Mus musculus: one gene and its partners. The protein of the gene in region 3 purifies or fractionates together with the protein of the main gene of each other region. This does not show direct contact. Links are inferred from orthologs where the notes say so. Each region holds a gene or a part of one and is shown on either strand. Other genes may lie near its edges.

Region 1 (3,650 bases), on a different chromosome or scaffold from region 3:
GATTTATCAACACTACTATTAGATTGGTTTTATCTCCTTTTTATTTTGGCAACCTGAGAACAACCCAGAAAACAAAAATAAGTTTTCATTATTGTATAGAAAAATTAAATGAGCCTATACTTACATGCCTAGTAATTCAGACTAAACAGTACAACTGAAATCCTTAGTGCAAGAAATACAACCAATTAATACAGTTAACACTCACTGATGCAAAGAGAAAACCTTCCTATTCAGAGGTAGAGTCCAGTGTACAAGGCTTGAAAACAATAGTCAACAGTCTGAATAAAACCAAGCCAGGCTATAAAGAGTCACTGTTGAATGTCAGGTACCAGACTGTGTGTACACACATACAACGAATACACTGTACAATCTTTTAAAGTAGTTTAATAAACTCCACAAAATAGTATCAGGTGCATTGAACTATTTACATAAGTCAATTTCCAAATCTCCCATTCAAATAAAAGGAATAAAAATAAGATTTCTGCTATCAAGCCAGCAGTTCTTTCCTGAAATGGGCTGGTAAGATAAGGTACTTTACATGAGAGGAAGGATTCATCTAAGAGGCATTCATATTTGGCTAAGAAAATAGGTCCCTTCTAGAGTTATAGAGATGAGGGAATACAAAATGACACTTTCTACATGTTTCGACCTCTGTTTAAGGTTTGTAAGGAGAGAAGCCGATCCCCTTTCCCACTCAGAGCAAATCATCAAAGAGGCAACAGGAGGGTAGTTAATTTTTTACTTCCTGCTTTGCAAGTTTAGGCTAGAATTTGCTCATATTGCATCCAAAACTGCACAAGAACTGCACTGACTCTTTACTAACATTTGTGGCTTCATACTTTTGGGATTTTGATATTTTGTTCCTTCCATCTTCAAAGTGTGCTCTATTGAGAGGGGTCAGGCATATGATTTTAGGGCATTCAAAACTAGCATACAATTCTAAACTTTTCCACGCTCACACAGGAGGAGTATATGATAAAGCAAATGCTAGAATTTATCTCAAACAAGGAAAACCTCACAAACCTCGGTCACCGCAACCTAAGATGGGCAGAAGCAAAGCACTTGTGTGTGACTCAGACTCTTAGACTTCATGTCAGACTCTCTCTTTGATAGCTACCTCTAACCCTTTTACTGCACTCAATAGAAGAGTTTAATCTATTCCCCAAACAAGCCAAAACCAGTCAGAAAACACAAAAGCTGGTTATAAGTAAGGAAGTATGAACCTTCACAGTTTGTGTAGCTTCTCCAAGCACCCACAATGAGAATGCAAGTTGAATTTTTTTTTTTATTCAATCATTCTGTGAAAAATACCTCAGGAAATAGTAACATTTTTCCTTTTAGTGATCTTCCCACTGGATACCCACCCACCCACTCCCCATTTTCTAAATTTTAGATTTTTAAAAAAATTGTATACAAATAGACTAAATTTGATTTAAAGGAAGCATATAAAATTCAAGGAGAATATTGCTTACAACAATGGACATGGAAGTAGAAGAATGACCAGGCAGGGAGCACATGGACATGGCTCCTCATGAGGTCAGGGAAACCTGGCTCCCCGGATGCTTCTCTATCCAAGATGCTTGTGCTGAGGACCTTTGCCTTCAGCCACAAAGTCTGAGTGCGTTTTGTAATTACACCTTCATGTTAGCAGAAAAAGAGAACCTGGGATGGAGAGGAGGTGACAAAACCAAAACCAAGAACAACCAATTGCAAGAAAACTGGAAGGCACAAGCACCCATATTAATCTAGATAGAATGTTCTTGGAACTAGGCAGGAGAGGGATAGTTTTGGTTCAGTACTACAGTCAAGTTAATCCTGCTATTGTTGAAAGAGAATCATATATAACAGGTGTGTAGAAACACAACAAGCACATCTTACTTGTGAGGAAGAAAGCTCAGAAGAAGGCTAGAGAAAATGGAGCAGAGATAAACAATCAGTACTATTTATTTGGATGTCTGTGCCATGGTGGTTACAAACTATACTCTCTGCTCTGAGGAATCAAAACCCAACCAGAATAAAAATGAACAAACATCCCCATCCCCAATCCCGAGAGCAGCATGAAGGAATGCAGGAAGTCTTTCTTACAGAGCACACAGATTCCAAGGGCATAGCATGGCATTCCCGATTTGGAGATGCATTCAACTCTGCTACCTATCATCTGGCTCCATCTGGTATCTATGACCAGACAAGGACCCAGAAACAGCAAAGCTACCAAGTAATCTATCCCTTAACACAACTTCCTTTTCCTTCATTTCCTTCTCCAGGATTAGAGTCTGTTTCCTCCATGAAAGAAGTGCTTTTCATGATGGCCGGGAAGGCTTGACACCAAGTTTCCTGAATACTGATTTCACGTCCCTTAAAGCCGCTCTGCGTGCACCCACCAAGTGTGGAGGCGGGCTGAAGGCAGCCTCGATGAGGCTATTGTTAAAAACAGAAGGAAAAAAGAAAACCAAACCAAACAAAACCACCCAAGTTCATCTTTTCTTTAAACAAAAGGAGAAACTGAGGGACAGCACAGCCTCAGGAGAGTGCCCCAGTTAGGAGATGATGGCTGGAGACCACCTTGGCAGAATCAGGTTGTCAGCACTTGCTGAACGCTTCCTCATGGGTTTCCTCAGGTCCTTGTACTTGTCCTCACAGAGACGAGAGATGGCCTGAGAGGGAGAAAGACAGTGCAGGTCAGGGTACACACCAAGGTCCCACCTCAGCCAGGGGCTCTGCAAGGCTGTCACATCTGCTGGCTCAACTGGTCTTCCTGCCTAGCACAACTTCCAACCCTGTTTTGAAATGGGGTGGAGATGGTGTGTATCTGTGTCCTCCTGATCTTGAAAGCAAAAGAGAAGAAACAGCTAAGGCTACTGTGAGGCAAACCACAATGAGAGACAACCATAGTAAGGATGGCAACAAATAAGGTGTCCAGAGTGACCTAGGAGCCAGGGTGGACCCACACGGTGGGTGTTAGTGAGACCAGATGGGGTTTCAGGGATGGAGAGCACACACAGGCCAGGATGGAAACACTTTCTAGTTTGTAGCCAGTGAAAACTTGCCACTAATCTTAAGAGAACATGACAAAATCAAAGGCTGCATTTTAGGAAAATAATTCCAGCATCAGCTGAGAAGACGGACTGGGGAAGAGAAACCAGACAGGCATCCATGTTGAAGCCAAGTGGTCAGCTGGGAGAACAGACAAATTACCAGGCTGAGCTGTGTCACCCCAAGCACTGTGTGCAGAGTTCTTGGGTCTTTTATTTAAAATTTCTGAGATTACCAATTGCTATTTCTCAAGAATAGTGTGTGTCTGAATTCATAGTAGTAACAGATAGTAGTGTTCCCTCTTAACCAGATTATATGTGGTAACAACAGCTTTCTCTGACATGTAGATAGAGCCAAACACCTTGAGCCTGGTTCAGAGTAATTGTTTAAAAGCTAAATCCGTAAGGTACTTTGCATGTGGTGCAGATCTGCACAAAAGGGGGTAGTGGCACCTCCCTGGAGTTCTTTAGTCCCAGTGCTTAGCACCCAGCCTGTCTCCTTGTCTCCTTGCTCTACTGAGATTCCATCTTAAAATTAACTGACTGCCGGGGGTGTTGTGGAACACAGCTTAAAACGAAGCACTTAGGAAGTAGGTGCAGGAAGATTTCTGTGAGTTT
Region 2 (3,650 bases), on a different chromosome or scaffold from region 3:
TGCCACCTCTCTTTCCAACCCAATTTCACAGCACTGGTGCCCACAGGGCGATTCTGCTCATGAACACAGCACATGGCTTCTTCTGAGTCTAACTGATGGTAAAGGAGGAGGTAGTCACCTTTCCTCAGGGCCAAGCATCTGACTTATCTCCGTGCATCTGTTGTAGGGGCAGTGAAATCCTAAATGCTACAATAACATGCACTATGTGAAACAATAGTCTTACTACAGGCCTTCTCAATGGATAACATAAAGGCAAGCATATACCTGTAGCTTAGCAAGTTCACAAAGCCACTCTAAGAACTACTGTACTATAATCCTGGGCAACTTCATAGGCAGAAATAAGTCATCAGCAGAGGTAGATTAACACCCATCATCCAAGGGTCAGAGAACTAGACAGTGATCCAGCATAGCATACAACAGAAGGCCCTGAGGAACACAGCCTGGCATGAACCTTAAACTTCAGCAAATCAGACTGGTGAACCACCTGCGCTTGTTACTGCTTTCCCCTCCTGCCCCATCAACATGCCCATATATGTGTACTGAGGCATGATGGGAGAACTCTCTTACTGCCTTTAATAGCAATTTTTTTTTTTTGTAATAAAGGCAATGTAACATTTTTAAACCATAAAGGCTGTTAAATTAACAGTCATTCCTTCAGAAGGTTCTTATTAAAGGTTTTATGATCATTTCAGGGATTAAACATATCTGGGTACAAGCTTTTTAATGAAGCTTGGCAGGAAGCTTACCAACGTCACTATTGCACATTCCGCTGTCAGCTGTGCAGCACTAAAAAGTGTACGAACAAATCTGTAAATAAATTTGTGTTCAGGGTCATGCTTAAAGTACTCCTCTGGAACTTTCTCTCTCTGAAAGAAAAATAAATGAATAAATAAATATTGACTGAAGGAAATCTTTTAAGTATTCTTAAAAATACTTGAGTCTGTCTCCACATTGTGCTCACCTGTTCCTTAAGATAATTTCAATTGGGTAGAATGATTGTGTACATTTGTATAACTATGTGTATGGGCATGCACAGCCACAGTGCACACACGAGGTCAAAGGGCAACTTTGAGAGTTGGTCCTTTCCCTTTACAATACTGGGGGTCAAGCACAGACCCTCAGGCTTGGCAGCAAGTGCTTCACCTGCTGAGCCATCTTGTTTGTATGCTTGTCTTGAGACTTCCTCCTGAGTGCAGAGGTTAAGAGTGTGTGTCACCATGCCCAGTGACTTTCATTGTGCTTTCAATATAAAGAGTGTGGCATCTTATGGCAATTGGCAAGAATGACCTTTTCAGGCAATGATGAACTAAATACATAATACCAGTTCCGTAAACCATCAGTGTGTAATACTACAGCCATCTTAGATGAAGTACTCTACAATTTTTGCAGAACAAAATCACCTAATACATATTTGAGGATGTACCCACTGTTAAGCAATCTATGGCTATACTACAACTATTCATACCCACCCATCCTTTATAAAAGGACACACGACCACAAGCACAGGAATGTCAGATATACCCTTCCATTCTCCTACCCAGGTTTTTTTTTTTTTTTTTTTTTAATCCTGAAATCATACTGATCTTAAAAGTGTCACAGGGGTGACAGCTGTTTGCAATATACTTTGGGGGAAAAAAAAACCCAAAATATTTTTAGTTTCCTATAACCATAGGCTCTTCTTAACATTGTCCATATAACAGCCAACAGTATGTGTGTCAAGTATCAAGACTGGCCAGCATATGTCTGGTGAAGTGACTTCTTAAATTTTTACAGGTTCGACTGACTGGTTGTTTTCAAGTTAGGGCCTTACTAGGTTGCTCTTATTACTAGGTTGCTCTTATTACTAGGTTGCTCTTAATACTAGGTTGCTCTTAATAGGTAGACTGTCTTTCAAATCACTAGTCAGCCTTCAAGGTACTGAAATTACAGATAGACCCATTTTAACTAATTTAAAGTTTCCTTATTTCCCTTTTTTTAAAACATATTTGTTGAATTTGTTTACAGATATTTATATTGCTTGATGTTACTTAAAGATTATCTTTTGAAAAGCTGAATTTTCTATTATTTAAGACAATACACTTATTTCCCTTGGCTCACTACTTAAGCAAAGCATCAAGGCAATTGTTACTTTATCATAGCCACGGCACACTCCTAACTCAAGCTAGAGGGACTAATTTTCTCACAGTAATCAGCTACATAACACGCAGACAGAAACAAAACACAATTCTAGGAAAGAAAAATATAATTTTAAGAAAAGCAAACAGATACTTACTGTGAGAGGATGTGACCGCTCATCAAAAATGTCCAGGGATCTATTTGCATCTCTGTAAAATGTAACAATACAGGACGTTAGTAGTGTCTTAGTTAACAACTGCTAGATGTAGGGTGAGGCCGACGGGGGAGGCCAACCTTTAACAAGGCAAGCGGTTCTTCCTGGGTTTAGCCAGCGCTGCGGCACCTTTGCTATGAGTGCTTGCGAAGCACTGACACGCTTAGCAGTGCCGATAAGCACGTTATCCTTCCTCCTCATAAAGGCAGCAGTGGACATGAAGAACTTAGAACTTTGATCAATGTGAACAACATTTAAATTTCACAAGTTTCTGCCTTTCTTTAATTCTCTGATTGTTATATGTTTAAGATATACACTTGCTTCTTATAAAGAGTATTAATTAAAACGTCGCTGCCCCCCTTTTTTAAAACACACAATGGTGTGTGTGTAAAAGTTCATCAAACAAATAAAGTGCACTCATTTAAGCACTGCTTCTCTGAGGTCGTGGACTCAGGAGAGTCCCTGAGCCGGAGGCACACGGCCTCCAAAACCGTTCATCATATACATGAAGCATTGCCTGCTTCTTATGCCTGCCGACTGTGAGCGAGTGTGAACGAGCTGATCCTGGCATGGTCCCGGCTGTGCCAGCCGCCCCCCCCCCCCCACAACTGCACTGCACTTGTTTCCTGAGCCTGCTTACGTCTTTGATGAAACAGGATAACTAATGTCACTAAATCCTGACCTTTCTTTTTTAATATTCTGAATGTGATTTACTTGTGAACTCAACCAGCCCCTTATTACAGAATATCACTTTCATGTGTAACTACAAATACTCTCAAAATTGAATGTAGTAACTTGTCACTTTGAGGAAAACATAATTTGTCATGATAAAATTCAAGCTGTCAAGCTCTGTAAAAGCCAAGCTTGGGACCTTGTGCCTTCTGCTATGTGTCTTACAGCTTCTCCGTGCTCACACTTTCTGCTAACATTATAATAAGGGTGACTCATTATTCTCCATATGACCAGGATACATCATCCAACTATGCACTAGTAAAAGATACACTTATTAAACATTTGCACATTTATACAATGAGTACAGTGTTTAAGAGTTCACGGAGAGATACAAAACTCTATTACAATGAGACACCCTTAGTGTAGTGCTGTAGAGCATCAAAAAATCTGAACGCTTTAAAAATAACTTTCCGTCAAATGTATATGTGTGAGAACTGGTTTCTTGGTTCTTTAAAACAAACTGAAAGAAAGACAGAGAAACAAGGAAATCTATTTGTCTTTCTACCAAGACCTACATTAAAATTTATAGATATGCAAATGAAATATTTTCTCTCAATTTTACGTAGGAAAGTCATTTGAAAAAATTATG
Region 3 (3,750 bases):
GATAACTCCAACTGCTGAGCACACAGTTGCATTACCACCATACTTACACATGCTCCATTCTGTCCTGACCTCTAAAAGCACACACTAGATCCCCAAGAAGGCCCTCAATATTTATTAACTCCTACTAACATTCACAACGTCTAACTCCCTTCAGCACTCAAAACCTTGCCCTCAACTGTATTGGCATATATTTGCCCCTTTTAAGTAACTCCTACCACCTTCACGTTGAGTCCCTTCCTAGCCTAGATGCTTGTTAGCCTCTCTCTAGCACTGTCCTTCCCAATAATAGTGTCCCCTATGGATTCTGATCCTCCTTAACATGCATTCAGGGTGCTCTACTGCTGACCCAAATTAGCATTCTCTGGACTTTCACACGTCTCTGAATCCTCAGTACATTGTGATTCTTATACAATCCCTGACCAGTTTGGTTCACACTTAGGTCCCTTCACAGTTATGGGTCTCTTGATGTGCATGCAGGGATCTAAACCCAGGTCCTCTGGAAGAGCAGCACATGCTCTTAACAGCTGAACCATCTCTCTAGCCCTTACCTTCAGAGTTATGACCACTGTTAATATACATTCTTTTTTTGTTTGTTTGTATGTTTTGTTTTGTTTTTCGAGACAGGGTTTCTCTGTGTAGCCCTGGCTGTCCTGGAACTCACTCTGTAGACCAGGCTGGCCTCAAACTCAGAAATCCGCCTGCCTCTGCCTCCCGAGTGCTGGGATTAAAGGCGTGTGCCACCACGCCCAGCTGTTAACATACATTCTTGTACTTCCAGTGCACAGTTCCTTCCCTCAGCACAAGATTAATCTTCATTGTATCTTGACCCTGACAGTCCTAACTCTATCAGCACACCTTGAACCCTTCCTTAGCCCTATTCTCCAGGGAGAAATGCACTATTCTGTATCAGACTGACTCTCATTAGTGAATGCAGCTCCTCCATTTGACCCTGACCCCTAATAACATACATCTCAGTTCATGACTCCAATTCACTTTGGCACACCAGTACCTACTCCTATTCCCTGCTTCAACCAACCACTCCTACCACCATTTCTCTGGTTCACAATTGATTTCCTTCATAGCTCTGTTCCTTTCATTATCCACTAGATTCTCCACCCCTCACCCCCAAAAAAACTCTACTTCTGAAGCACTCCTCAAATCAGCACACTTCAGTGGCCCATGGAGAGAAAAAAGGCGTTTTGATGTACATCAGCATATTTTACTTTGTGCTCTTCCCCTAATAGCGTGCATACATTTAAGTGTCTGTATCTATCTAACCCCACAGCAGCAGCCTTTACAACAGTGGTTCTCAACCTTCCCAATGCTGTGACCCTTTACTACAGTTCCTCATGTTGTGGTGTCCCCCAACCATAAAGTTCTTTTTGTTGCTACTTCATAACTGTACTTTTGCTGTGATGAATTATCATGTAAATGTCTGATATGCAGGATATTTGACATTCGACCTCTAAGTTGAGAACCAGTGCTCTAGAACTTCATATATAGTATTGCCCCCACGCTTTCTGGAAGCCTTTATGGACATCCACTCACACCTCATCTTGACCCTTAGTGTGCAAAGCTCTTTATACTTCCTTTACTGACAATCTCCCGTACACATGTACGCACACACCTAAAACCCAGTAGTACAGGCCTTTCCCCATCCTCTCCCATTACACACACTCTCAGGTCCTTCAAAAGCTCTGCCTTCACTGGCATATACTGATCTCACCCTACCTTTATTACATCTACATACCCTCATCTCCAGGACCCTCCATTACCTCCTCTATGAGCACACCCTGGACCCAGAGAAGCTGCCACCCTCAACTCCGTGGATAAACACAGTATTAACACTATCCTGACCCTCATCACCACACACTCGGAACTATGCGTCTATCAGCACACCTTCTGGTAGTACCTCTACCACCCTTTCTCCATTTACACTGGGCCTCTCTGTAGCTCCAACTTCCACTAGAATGTTTTGGAACTGTCTTTACTTCAAACCCTGTTATACCCCATCACGTCCCTCATGGTCCTGCAACCCCTTTCCATAAGCACACTGGGCCTGAAGTCGTAAGGCTTTTTATTACATGTTCCTAGCCCTTTAGCAACTCCGAGAATCTCACTGTATCAATCCATTCCCATAACGCTAGTCCTTTAATCACCCTTCTCCCACTTAGCATCCACAGCACTTCCCATCCTCAGCTCCCAGGACAGGGGCCCAGGGCGGGGCCAAGGTCAGGGAGGCCCCAAATGACCCCCCAGTGCATTCTGGGAAACTCGAGGGGGAGGGGGCACCTGACAGACAAGCTGCCCAGAACCCCTTGGTCTTGTTCCAGCACTGCCTAGGGTCCGGCTGGCTCTCTAGGAAGAGCAGCCCCCACCCTAAGTATCGAGGACACGCTCACCGGAGGGGGCGCGCGAGTAACCTCAGAGCCGCGGGGCCGGCGCGGTGGCGCCTGGGGCGGCGGCCCGGGATGAGGCCGCGCGACCTCCTTTTCCTCCAGTTCGCCGCAGGCGCCCGTCCCAGTAGTCTTCGGCCATGGCTGCTGGGCCCGGGCCGCCGCCGGCTGAGGAGGAAGAGGCGGCGGCGGCGGCGGCGGCTGAGGCGGCGGCGGCGTCCCGCTCAGCCGGCCATGAGCTTGGCCACTGCGGGCGATGCCCCCGTGCTCGCAAGCGCCCGCTGGAATCCGGGTGTTCACGGCGGCTCGTGACTCACAGCAGACAGCTAGCGGAGACGCAGCATATCCCAGAGCCCCCCAGCCAGCGGCCCAACAGCCGCGCGCGCCGCGCTCCGCGCATGCGCACGCACACGCTGGGGGTGGGGTGTGAAGCAGGAAGGAGGAGACTCACCTCGGACTGCGTGTACCAAAAGAGCCTTCTGCAGCGGGAGGGGGTGCGGCCATTGCGTGCCCAGCAGGGAATGTGGCGTTGGCCCTGGAACGGCGCCAGGGGGATTTAGAGAGGGGTTAATAGTTTTGATCTTGCTAGAAATTTACTAGCATCGAGGTGAGCAGCAGCCAGTAGCCAGGCGTGCCAGTCACCACCTTCTTTCCCTACAGTCTCATTTGGTACATCCCCATGGTGGTAAACGGGACTTTTGCAAGGAGAAAAAGAACAGGTGAGCGAAGCAGTTCCAGTCCTTTGTGGTGCCTCGGGAGGCAAGAATTTAAAGGCTGGAAATGACTTTCTAGGAGAGGTGGCCTGGATTACCACCTTAGCTAGGACAATCTAGCCCCGCCCTGCCACCCACCCTCTACCACTAGTTTGTTACCCACTGTGAAACGTATGTGGCCCCACCCTTTTGAAAAAGCTGACGCTCAGCCAATCAAATTTGCTCCCTGCGTCAGGGCTGAGCAAGAATGAAGGGCGTGGCAAAGCTGAAGAAGCATGATCTAGCTTTCTCTTCAGCTTGCCTCCTCCTCTGTACGGTTTTTTATTGGTTTTCGGGCTCGCCTTTTTGTTCTGAGCGCTTCTCAGGAGATCGCTGAATATCCCGTAAGATAATTGGTCCAAAGGCCACTCAGTCAGCCGGTTCCCTCCTTTAACCATTCCCACATTCTCCTGCAGCTTCTTGGTGTGGTGAAACCTAGGCTGAGAAGGAAAGGCCTTTTTAGAGGGGGCAGACTCCACTAAGGCGCAGGTTTGGAACTTTGGCTTGGGCGGAGCTTCTTGCTGCCTCACTCTAATATTCGCGTACAAGCTCCTCTAATTAGGCTTTCTTTACACCTTTCAATTACCTCATCTTGTCCTCTA

Evidence for each region.
Region 1: the proteins of Cdk16 (region 3) and Ccny purify together in Homo sapiens (affinity purification with mass spectrometry; 3 studies listed by BioGRID and IntAct, counting the BioPlex papers as one, with this or other methods). This does not show direct contact. The link is inferred for Mus musculus from reciprocal best matches to the Homo sapiens genes CDK16 and CCNY.
Region 2: the proteins of Cdk16 (region 3) and Ccnyl1 purify together in Homo sapiens (affinity purification with mass spectrometry; 4 studies listed by BioGRID and IntAct, counting the BioPlex papers as one, with this or other methods). This does not show direct contact. The link is inferred for Mus musculus from reciprocal best matches to the Homo sapiens genes CDK16 and CCNYL1.

What each region holds. Positions count from the first base shown.
Region 1 is NC_000084.6:9,314,019-9,317,668, forward strand, and holds part of Ccny (cyclin-Y), read right to left. Parts: intron 2,655-3,650; coding exon 2,538-2,654; 3' UTR 1-2,537. UniProt on the Homo sapiens protein: Positive regulatory subunit of the cyclin-dependent kinases CDK14/PFTK1 and CDK16.
Region 2 is NC_000067.6:64,711,785-64,715,434, reverse strand, and holds part of Ccnyl1 (cyclin-Y-like protein 1), read right to left. Parts: intron 2,325-3,650; coding exon 2,273-2,324; intron 867-2,272; coding exon 747-866; intron 1-746. UniProt on the Homo sapiens protein: Key regulator of Wnt signaling implicated in various biological processes including male fertility, embryonic neurogenesis and cortex development. Activates the cyclin-dependent kinase CDK16, and promotes sperm maturation.
Region 3 is NC_000086.7:20,687,459-20,691,208, reverse strand, and holds the start of Cdk16 (cyclin-dependent kinase 16), read right to left. Parts: upstream 2,784-3,750; 5' UTR 2,403-2,783; intron 1-2,402. UniProt on the Homo sapiens protein: Protein kinase that plays a role in vesicle-mediated transport processes and exocytosis. Regulates GH1 release by brain neurons. Phosphorylates NSF, and thereby regulates NSF oligomerization. Required for normal spermatogenesis.